Nothobranchius furzeri: one gene and its partners. The protein of the gene in region 2 purifies or fractionates together with the protein of the main gene of each other region. This does not show direct contact. Links are inferred from orthologs where the notes say so. Each region holds a gene or a part of one and is shown on either strand. Other genes may lie near its edges.

Region 1 (3,356 bases), on a different chromosome or scaffold from region 2:
CGGTTCACCATGGAGGGAAAATTCCTTACGGACATAGAGACATAAATAAAAATAAATGGTGATATGTCTATTCTGAAGACACTTGCAGCTTCGGAGAAAAGATGCAAGACTGATTGTTGACGAGAGAATATGTTTAGAACTAAAACTACCCCGGAGAGAAGTTCATTTACAGCTCCGTCTGATTTTTACCCTTTTGTTGGGACTTCAGATCTGGAAGATTTCAGCTCCACGTGGGAGGGGAGGTGGACTTAGTGACTTTAGAAGTGTTCCTTTTCTTTAGGGAGATGGAGAGAGAAGGAGTTCACGAGTCAAAAGGAAGACAGGAGCTGCATGGAGGGCTACTTTGGGTAAAGCGACCTTCCATCCAAGCGTTTTTTTCTTTCACGCTGTGACTCGTTACGTTTATTCTGGTCTTTCTCATGTGACTGTAGAGGCGGGTCTCGGGGGAGCAGGGCTCGGAGACCTCCATGCTTTTAGAAAGAGTTGAAATAAAAAACACCTACAAAGTCCGAGTTTATTTGACAGTTCAGCTGCTTCACATGGAAAGGACTCGATCTCCGCGGGGTTCAGTCTTTCGTGTTTATGGGTCACCGGCTGATGTCTCGATTGCCCTCCCAGGTCTTGCTGCCGCCTCCCTCACCGTGACCCATGTTCTCAAAAAAAGGGTGCTTGAGGGAGTCGGCCAGCGCTAATCTCTTGGTGGGTTCGTACTCCAACATGCCCTCGATTAGATCAAAAAACTGATGGTGATCCTCTGCCTCTGACAGCAGGTACCGCTGATGGAAAACAACAAAAAAGGTCAGTTAAGTATAAACACAGAGCTTCAAATGCTAGTTTATTTCCTCCCACTTACTCGTAACGGTTTACAGTTTTCTCTGACATATTTCCCCGACGACGAGGTCTCGTCCCAATCCAGACGGCCACGATGGAAATACTTCTGCTTCCTGAGTGTTTAAAGTGACCAAAGTAAGAACTAAATCTTTTCTATGAAGTTTAAAACGTTCATGTTTGTTCCTTCTTGCCTGGTCTTACGGATCATCCTAGAGGGCACTGGACCCAGGATTCTCTCCATCATGGCCAGATGTTCCCTGTTGTCATGAGTCTAAACAAACAAAAACGATACGATAAAACATCAGTGGATATTTTGATCCGTTTTAAACGTTTCAGTCAGAGTTGTTTACCTGAAACAACGTGAAGCCTAAGTAGTACTCAAACAGGATACAGCCAATACTCCAGACGTCACACGGGTGACTCCAGCCCAGTTCTAAAGAACACGTTTGTTAATGTTAGAGCTTAAAAACTGCTTGTTTGGCTTCATTTCTAAGTGACTTCTTTGTTTTTTAAAGTAATCAGAAAACTCAACTAGGCTCAAAGTCGGCTCACCTAGTATGACCTCCGGGGCGCGGTAATGCCGCGTGGACACGATGGTGCTGTGATGCTCGTGGTCAAAAGTGGCACTTCCAAAGTCCACGACTCGAACTGCTGTGCTTTTTACCGTCCGCTCCTCCCGTTTCTGCAAGTTTGGGAACCAATGAACTACATTACAGAACCAATAAAGCTGCAAATTACTTCCTTCTGACTGGTTTCATGATAAATATGATTACATCATGTAATCAGCAGACAAGTCACCTCTAAAAGGAAAACATATATACACACTCAAGTTTAGACCACACGTCGATTTAGATTACAAACAAAGCATAAACCAAAGATTCTGTCAACGTGGCTTCATAAGGTGAAAGAGAAACCCTTTCAGTTCCCTCTTGAGGTCGAACGTGGATACAACAGGGAGCAAAAAATAAATACACTACCAGTAGATAGGAGCCTCCTATTGGATAATCTTTGCATTATTGAACCAATGAATTGATGCAAGTCTGCTTTAGAAGGGTCGGATCACCAAGCAGAAAAAGCATGTAAGGAAAAAACAGAAACGACTACAAATGGGTGAAGAAACATCCACTGAATCATTAAAACCAAGAAGAGCTGCAGGAAACCATACGTTTAAAAAAAACTGAATAATCGTGATCATCTTAAAACCAATGGAAGAAAAATAACAGATGCCACGTGTTCCATGTGCACAGTGCAACGGGAACAGCCGTGAGAAAACCTCCGAGATGTGAGCATCGAGGCTGGCGTCTGGTAGATGGTCCGGTGGTCTGATGAATGAAGTAATGAATCCATCATGCCTACAAGCCTGTGGGGGCAGTCTATGATCTGGGGTTGCTGCAGTAGGTCAGGTCTAGGTTCAGCAGCGTTATGACCCCCGACGATGAGGTCAGCTGACTACCAGGTGGATGGATTAATGGATGTTTCCTTCCCTCGTGACGCAGGGATATTTTAAGACATTGGGAGGGGTCCACGGGGAATCTTTGCTGGAGAAGGCTTCGCACAGTTGTCAGATTTCCCCATCAAACAAGATCTTGGTGAAAAACGAATGCGAAACTGAATGGAAATGGAAGGACGCTCCAGGAGCTTACCGAAACAACGCCAGAGTCAAAGCTAAAGGTGTATCATGTTCACGCGGGGACAAAGACTTGGTTTGGGACACGTCTCTTACCTTCTCTACATTGTAGGTCATTGTGAAGTCCGAGTTGACAAACAGGATATTTTCTGGCTTCAGGTCTGTGTGTGTCAGCTTATTGTCATGAAGAACTACAGAAAAAAATCATCAAAGAGCTCATTTAAGGTCACATTTTAAACTAATTCAACTTCATGCTGCAAATACAAAACATCTGATAATAACTCATGTCCTAACAGTAGACAGAGTAAGAATGCAGCCAGATTTACCCCTAACACAATAAGCTCTGCTTCTCATTGGATCTTTTTATTTGTGAGGGTCTTCTGAGGTAAACGTAGCTTACATTTCACAGCTAGGCAGATCTGGTAGGCCATGTGCCTGACCTGACCGATCGAGTAGGGAAGATAGTTGTTCTCCTTCAGAAAGTCAAAGGTGCTGAGAGCCAGCAGCTCAAAGGAGATACACATGTGGCCGTGGTAGTCGAACCAGTCGTACATCTGAACGCACAAGCTGCAACACAAAAAGATGTAACTGTGTAGTATTTGTATGACAGAGTACTGGTGTGACCAGGTTAAGGGAATGCTAAAAAATGCTTCCCATCACAGAACAGTCTGAACTCACAACTTGTTATCCGGATCCTTCTCATTTATCTTCTCCAGTACGTTGATCTCCAGTCGAGCTGCTTCCTTGTATTTCTCAACATTCTTGATAATTTTCAAAGCAACATGAGCTCCTCCCCTATAAACATAAACACGGAAAAATCTCAACGAGTGCAGCTGGATGTGAGGAATGGTAAAAGCACCACTTTTACACCCTAAAAAAACTTTTAAAAAATATAAAT
Region 2 (4,173 bases):
CTGTACAGCCCTGCTCTGATATGGAAGAGCCTGGGGGGGAATCAGGACGTGAATAGCACCAACCACAGATCTGTACCAACTAGCGAGAAAAACAATTTTTGATCTTTGTCAGCAGCGGTTTTAGTGCTTTTCGGTGCACCGCTGCGGATACAGCACCCCTGTAGTGGTGCAACTGCAGTTAAAATAACATCCATATAGCTGGGGGCAGAGTGAAATCAGGCTGGGGCGGCACCAAATTAGCTGGAGGCGGCCGCCACGCAAATTTGAACGCAGGAAAAACCCTGAGAAACGCACGCAAAATATTTTCTCACCAGCTGAGCCAATTCCACTTTCTGTTCCAGCAGTCTCAGCTCAGTCTGCTTGGCTCTCCTCTCTTCAAACAGTTCTCTCTTTTCGTTCTCCACCTTCTTTTTCTCAGCCTCAGCTTGAACCTCGAGCTTCTGCTCGATCTCGGAGCGTCTCTTCAGCTGCACCGTGAACAGATGATGTCAGCGATAAGCAGGAAGAAGAAAAAAACCAACAACCCTCCAAAACAACATGATCCAGGCTGACCTCGGCCACCTCAGGAGCACCCTCACCTTATCTGAAGACTCGTTTGATTCCTGCTTGAATTTCTGCAGCGTTCCCATCAGCAGGCCAAACATACGCCGATTCCTGAGAAGGATGTTTCAATTTCTCTAAATTTTCCTTACATGGTTATCTACTTAAAAGATTAATATTCTATAAAAAGGGTTTAAAAGGCCTGGGTGCAAATCTAGAGCTGAAGAACGGTGTTGGCCTACCTCTGTTTGCCCTTTTCATCCATAGTCTGATCCTGGATGAGATCTCGGCGTGTTCGCTCCTTGGAGGTAGCTACAACTGACGACTGCAACGCCGGCTAAAAGACGACGTACAATTGTGAAAAAGGCAAACAAATTATGCTTTCATAAATAAATGAAACTAATTAATGGAGTTCTGCACATATAAATAGAGGAATAAGACACCCAGCCCTACTTTTTTGACATCGTCATCATCCTCGGCGTCGCTGTCGTGACGCGCGTCTCTCCTGGCCCTCTGATCTCCTGCCAGCCTGCAAACACAAAAATAAAACAATCTGAATGAACTTAAAAAGCATCCGACTGCTTCAAAATCAGCAGCACGCCTCCAAAAGTCAAAGGGTTTCAACAACAGCAGGTGATGCTTGTGCTACATTAAAAAAAAAAATCATGCAACAGATGACTTTCAAGTTTATTTATAAAGCCCTTTCCTACCCCCAATCAAGCAGACCCAAGGTGCTGAACATAGCATAAAGAAAACACAGTAAAACAGATGTGTAGTAAAATACAAAAAACAAACCGTGGTCACTCTGATCCAAATGTGGCAATCTTGCAGGAACTTTCCACACAAACTGGTGAATTTATTTATTTATTTAAAGTTAAAAAAAATTTTAAAGATCTCACCTCAACAGGGCTCCTTGAATGTCCCTCTGCTTGGCAGGAGGGCCTCCGCTCCCCATGTCTGAGAGACTACGCCTGTGAAGGAACACAACATAGGGATAAAAAAAAAAAAAATAGGGCTTAAAGCCAAACAGGACAATCAGATTCGGTCATGAGGCGAGTTCACATACACCCAGTCTGTTTTTGGTTTTATTTCCTTAAAGACACACCTGGTACTCTTCGGGAAATAATAGACTTGTATGCAATTCCCAATGAAAGGTTTAAAACTTATGCAGTCACATGAGAAACAAAATAATGCCTTTATTTAATGGAGCAGTTGGAAGCACAGCTGACTACCAGCAAGAAGGTTGCAGGTTAAAAACCTGGCTGCTGCCTTTTTGCACAGAATTAGCATGTTCTCATGCATGTGTGATGTGATGGCCTGGTGCAAAGGTTTCCTCCCACAGACCAAAAGCGTGCATGTTGGGTTAATTTACTGCATCCTAAAATACTTTGAATAGATGGGTCTGCCAAATAAATCTTTATGCTCCCGTTTCAGTGTAACATTAATCCGTGTAGTTTTATAGCCGTTTTCTATGTGGTTTTTGTCTTGTTTATAACCAACTTCATCAACTTCCTGTTTGGTGTTTATAACACAAAGGTGTTAACTTATTACATAAGCTCCAACAAAGGAAGTCAAGTTTGAATCAGCTGCATCGTTGAAGGAGGCACCATCAGCGTTTTTGACTGGAGTGGGAAGTTTTACCTGAGCAGGTTGAGTCCTCTGCCTCTACCTCCTCCCAGGCCTGCTGCCATGGGGCCGCTGAGCCGGCGGATCTGACCCGGTCTGTAAACGGAAAATTAAAAAAAACAACAAATCAGCACTACAACTGCGCTTGAAACTAAAGTCAGTCAAATGTGTAGTTTATTCGTCGCCAGAAACCCCGATAATAATAAAGGTGACACCCAGACAACATTGAGTTTGGGCCTAAACTTTGCTTATTTTCTGCATTCAACTAATCACACCAAACACCAGATTAGCTTAATTTACACAGAAAAAATAAAATCAGTTTTACAAATAAAACAACTCCGATTGGATTTCTCTGCTCTAAGGCGACATCATGCTACTTTAGCACACGTAGCTTAAATGCTAGCGGGTTAGCAAGCACGATTACACATCGTTGTCCAAACATAGTTTTTTATTTTAGTTTTTACCTTGACTCATTTGGGTCTCGTCCAGTCAGTTTGCGAATATTATCATCCACGCTTTTCAAGCTTTCTTTGGCTTTTTCGAGCTGATCTTGTAAGCTCCGCACCGCCACCGCCATTTTGATGCTAGCTAGCGTGAATCACGTGTTTCTCTTCTTCTTCTTTTATCTGTACAGTCAGCTGTCAAACCAGCTCAATTGTGGATCTCCGCCACCTGCTGGACGGATATGCGAGAAACGACTTTATGAGGTATTTTTAAAAAGTAATTAATGGGACCTTTAGTCATTGCTTAAATATATATGTTGTTGTGAAATGAAAAATCAAGTTCATAAACACTGTTAGACTTCTTAATTAGAAATTGTATTATATTGAGTTCAGGTAACACACAAATTTAGCCTTTTTACTCAATATATAATTATGATTAGTCTGAATTTAAAATGATCAGTTAATCAAAACACAATATAATTTTAAGTTGTGTCGATGTAAAATAAAACTTGATGACGTGTAAACCTCCCACAGTTCCTCACTTTTTCTCAGGCGGACATTTTCAACAGCACATGTTCAGGATATGAAGCACTGTGTTGGTGGAGAACGGTAAGTACATTTATGCGGAATTACACATATTTTACAGTCACCCTGGATTTTGTTAGTGATATAGCCTAATTTAAAACAAGGACGTAACATTATCTCTCCCGGTAGCAAGCGAGACGCTCCAGTTAGCTTTCACCCACATCTGTGTGCATAGCAGTTCGGCTGTAACATACACGGAGACGCAAATTCTGCGATAGTAGAAATTGTTGGGCTCTTTTTGAAACATCTAATACTAACGTTACTCTGATATAGACCATTGTAATTGTCTAATGTTTAAAAGATCACAGATATTGTTAGCCACGGCACTAACTGCTATGCTAACGCTGGGTTCTGTAGGATGTGAGCTATAATGTTGATGCTAGCCAAGGTAAGTAGCTATCACTGATGTGTTTGTTGTTAGTTAAGCAGCGATTGAAACGTTTTATTATCTAAATGTGGAATTATTTTTTGTAAAGAGAAGCATTTTATGTTAATAACCATTAAGAAATGCTAAAGCTAGATGCCGCTTTTCGCTTCTACATTTACGTCAACAGCGCCACCATCTTGTTAATGTTAAGGGCGGGAGTTCAACCCAGTACCGAGCCATGAAAGATGCCAGACTTAAGTGGACATTGCCGCACAATGGTAGGGTAATTATTATTATTATGGTAGGGTAAGGGTGATTTTTGGTGACTTTCGGTGTTTTGAAGAGAAATACGGAGAGGCGACACGGATTGTTTGTGCCATTGATATGTCTCAATAAAGTTTGAAGAAAAAAATTGAGCTGCGTGGTAGCGGACCACCATTTTGGATGGGTCTCCATTCGCCCCTAGTGCAGGTTTTTTCTACGAAGGAATGTGTTCCTCCAGTTAAAACACGTTGTCGTTCTTTTTAACAAAATGAGATATAAGGAGTGGCATGACAGGGCTACCAGAGTCAAATTTTGATGGTAAATAATGAAACTGTTAAAACATTTTTC
Region 3 (3,500 bases), on a different chromosome or scaffold from region 2:
AGCGTCTCTGACCGGATGGTCTTCAGCTGAGTCTCCAGCTCGTCAGCGTACATGGTCATCTTCTTGGTCTTCTTGGGTGATGGTGTGGAGATCATCTTCAGCTCCAGGTCGTAGTCCATCTCATCCGACTCCGACCATGGAGACGGGGAGCGCTCTGCTCTACTGCAAAGCCCTGCCCCCACCGTCCTTGAGTCTCCGCCCCTTTCCTTGTACTCCACTACCCTGTCATCCGAGTCCATGTCCTCGTCTTGGTCCTCCTGCTCTTCTTCCTCCTCCTCCTCCTCCTCTTTGATGGGCTCCTCGGGCAGGTTGACCAGGTCAGCTGAGGGACAGGAAGCAGAGGATTGTGGGTAAGAGGATGAGATAATTAACAGCTGACTGGTGTGCGACGTGATCAAATCAGATGGACAGAAAGCAGTTTCCCTCCTGATAAATAAGAATAATATCCTTTATTTCCTGTAGGTGGTGCGGCTAAACCTGGGTGGTGTGGGGTTGGGGAGGTTAGCTTGGCGCTGCACTGGCAAAATCATCACTGTGGGTCGAACCGCGGTCCGACCAAACGGAGGCCGCCCTCTACGGGGAGCCTGGGCTGCTAACTGGGGACCTTCTCAGTGACCTAGTGGTATCCGCCCTGGGACTTGGAGATCGGGGTTCAAATCCCAGTCGGGTCATACCAAAGACCAACACTGGGACCCAACGCCTCCCTGCTTCACGCTTGGCTTTAAAGGCTTGGATTGGGGGGGTTAAGCCACCAAACAGCCACCGCTCCCCACGGGGATGGGTCAGATGTGGAGATGTAACGTCACCAGAAAGGAAACTGAAATGTAGCCGCTGTCAGTAACTAACACATTTAAAACATTAAAACTGACTAAACGGTTGAAAAAATACAAAAATATCTCCTATTTCTTATCCTTAGAGGTTATTGCTCAGCCTTCTGACAGTCACGCTCACACAGACGAGTTTATTGATGCTCCTCGTTTTTATTTCTGCTGTGAGCCTTAAAATCTCGCCTCACTCCGTCCAGAACTCGTGTTAATGCATTTATACAAGCCGAAGTGTTCATAACTCCATCTCTCTCATGGAGTGAACGTGTGGCGGACATGTTTGTTTACATTTTTGCTGCTGTGTGCCTGAACAGTGGGACAGATAAGTGATGAAGCAAGTTATGCTTACGAACTGATAATAAATATGTTGCTGGTTCCTGTACAATACTGAGAAAACAAATCCTCTTCAGGACGTTCCATTTACATATGAGCCATTTTTAGTAATCCTCAAACTTGTTCATGTCCCTCTTTTTTTTTACAGAACAGAGAAAATTCTGACAGTCACAGAAATAATTACAAAACTCTAAATATGACAAATACAATTTGTTAAATTATAATTAAGCTAAAATAATTAGGAAGCCTTACTGTCATTGTACAACGGTACCATAAAACTCTGTTGGCATCTGAAAGTGTATGATTGCACGGGTTTAGGTGCATTCAGAGTGGTGAATACTTGGGCAAATAAACTAATCTTGAGCCTTGAAAAAACCTTTGCTTTTGGTTGAAAAGAATAATAAGAAAAAAAAACAAATAAACTGTCCAAGATGAGTCAGAACACCTGTCAACAGGTGCGTCTGAGCCACAGGAATCATCTAGCTGCAGAGGCTGTTCAACAGCTTTAGTTTCTGGGTCCATCATGCTTGATTTTAAATATTTCTGTTGAACCACAGTTTAAAAGTGATGTCATGAATTTCACTACGTTTGGATTCATTAGAACTTTTGTTATTTGTACATATTTCAGTGACGGCCGTTCTTTTGTCTTTAATGGGAGGGTATGGGATAACTTGAGAATGAATAAAATTATGAAGCTACCGTATTTTCCAAATTATGAGTCGCACTTTTTTCATAGTCTGGCTGGTCCTGCTGCTTATATACCAAATAATATACACCACGCTGCTGCGGGCCGGCTCCGGACCTGGGGGCCTCATTTATCAAGCTTGCTTACGCACAAAATGAGGACGGAAAACTGCGTGAGCAACTTTCCACGCAAACGTTGGGATTTATGAAAGAAAACTTAGCGAAAAAATGTGCGCAACTTTAAGTTGACTAAGGACCTGGCTTACACACATGTTGGACATGGAGAGCACCTGCAGTGCTGCTGCTGAGAAGGACAAAGTTATGAAATCCTGCAGCATTATCACTTGTACTGCTTCGTTTTCACACAGAACAAGACCCCCCACACGCGCACACACACACACACGCACGCGCGCGCGCGCGCACACACACACGCGCGCGCGCGCACACACGCACGCGCACACACACACACACACACACACACACACACACACACACACACACACACACACCCTGAAGCGGAGAATACGGAATGCAGAATATCAGCAGGGGGACAGATTGAGACAGAATGTCATGCGTCTGTGACAGTGTGTGTCCTGTCACTGTGACCTGATTGATCATGCGCCCCGGCTACTTGGACAAGGGAGATCTCTGTTTGGCTGACTGGTTAGCATGTGTGACTTTCACCTTGGAGTCTAGGGATCGAATCCCTATTGGACCATGTTTTTTATATCCGCCACAGATCTCTCTGAAGAATTCACAACATTGACGGCTTCAGCAACGCTGTGCCACTCCGTGGATTTTCATTATTTGTTTTGCAAAAGCACTTCCTTTCATTTCTCCACCTCACCCACAGGTATCTCAATTTCTGCTTCTGTGAAATTGTGCTTCCTTGATCTGCCTTGATCTACGGTTGCCTTTGGCGGAGCGCTGCAACAAGGCACTTTGCATTGACTATATGGCAGTAAGTGGGTGTGGTGAGGGCGGGATGTGACTAAAAAGCAGCTGAGAACCTTTCTAGATAGTTTCTGATTTATGAAGCGGAGATTGCGTGCAGCTGTGCGTGCTCCATGTTTGATAGATCACAAACCTACTTGGCGTAAGTACTTTTTTTTTTGCTGAGGTTTTAGTAAGGATTCTACGTAATGTTTGATAAATGAGACCCCAGGAATGAGCTCCCCCGTCCCGCTGGGAGGGTTTGAAACACCGCCATCCTCTGCTGGAGATTGTGGTATGCTGCTGCACCCTGATTGTTTATTCTGTTATAGTTAACGGGACTTGTCTTGCAATGTGAAATGCTTGGTCACAGATTTTGTAAGAAAAATAATAAAATTTCACCCCAAAAATGCGACTTATATATGTTTTTTTCCTTCATTATACATTTTATGGCTGATTCGATTTATACTCCGAAAATACGGTAATAATCCTAAATATATTGACTACATTACATGATTTTTTTCCCACGTGTTCGTCATCCAGAGCACATCAACTTCTCTGTTAGTTCCTTTTATGATAATTATCCCAGCCCATTCGCTTTCTTTGTAGCACAACTTTATTGACACTTTATAAATAAGAATGATGCACAAACCGGAATCATCACAGCTGCTAAAAAAAACAAATGCCCTTTTTTTTTTTACCTTTTAAGTAAAATTAGGATCCGGG

Evidence for each region. The genes of interacting proteins can lie anywhere in the genome.
Region 1: the proteins of pnn (region 2) and clk2a purify together in Homo sapiens (affinity purification with mass spectrometry; 3 studies listed by BioGRID and IntAct, counting the BioPlex papers as one, with this or other methods). This does not show direct contact. The link is inferred for Nothobranchius furzeri from reciprocal best matches to the Homo sapiens genes PNN and CLK2.
Region 3: the proteins of pnn (region 2) and ncbp3 purify together in Homo sapiens (co-immunoprecipitation; 3 studies listed by BioGRID and IntAct, counting the BioPlex papers as one, with this or other methods). This does not show direct contact. The link is inferred for Nothobranchius furzeri from reciprocal best matches to the Homo sapiens genes PNN and NCBP3.

Annotation. Positions count from the first base shown.
Region 1 is NC_091759.1:6,934,917-6,938,272, reverse strand, and holds the end of clk2a (dual specificity protein kinase CLK2), read right to left. Parts: intron 3,254-3,356; coding exon 3,137-3,253; intron 3,026-3,136; coding exon 2,859-3,025; intron 2,650-2,858; coding exon 2,555-2,649; intron 1,514-2,554; coding exon 1,384-1,513; intron 1,265-1,383; coding exon 1,182-1,264; intron 1,103-1,181; coding exon 1,023-1,102; intron 945-1,022; coding exon 854-944; intron 777-853; coding exon 588-776; 3' UTR 501-587; downstream 1-500. UniProt on the Homo sapiens protein: Dual specificity kinase acting on both serine/threonine and tyrosine-containing substrates. Phosphorylates serine- and arginine-rich (SR) proteins of the spliceosomal complex.
Region 2 is NC_091758.1:40,470,144-40,474,316, reverse strand, and holds the start of pnn (pinin), read right to left. Parts: upstream 2,801-4,173; 5' UTR 2,744-2,800; coding exon 2,631-2,743; intron 2,263-2,630; coding exon 2,182-2,262; intron 1,512-2,181; coding exon 1,440-1,511; intron 1,070-1,439; coding exon 994-1,069; intron 878-993; coding exon 783-877; intron 655-782; coding exon 579-654; intron 468-578; coding exon 312-467; intron 1-311. UniProt on the Homo sapiens protein: Transcriptional activator binding to the E-box 1 core sequence of the E-cadherin promoter gene; the core-binding sequence is 5'CAGGTG-3'. Capable of reversing CTBP1-mediated transcription repression.
Region 3 is NC_091750.1:26,022,312-26,025,811, forward strand, and holds part of ncbp3 (nuclear cap-binding protein subunit 3), read right to left. Parts: intron 323-3,500; coding exon 13-322; intron 1-12. UniProt on the Homo sapiens protein: Associates with NCBP1/CBP80 to form an alternative cap-binding complex (CBC) which plays a key role in mRNA export. NCBP3 serves as adapter protein linking the capped RNAs (m7GpppG-capped RNA) to NCBP1/CBP80.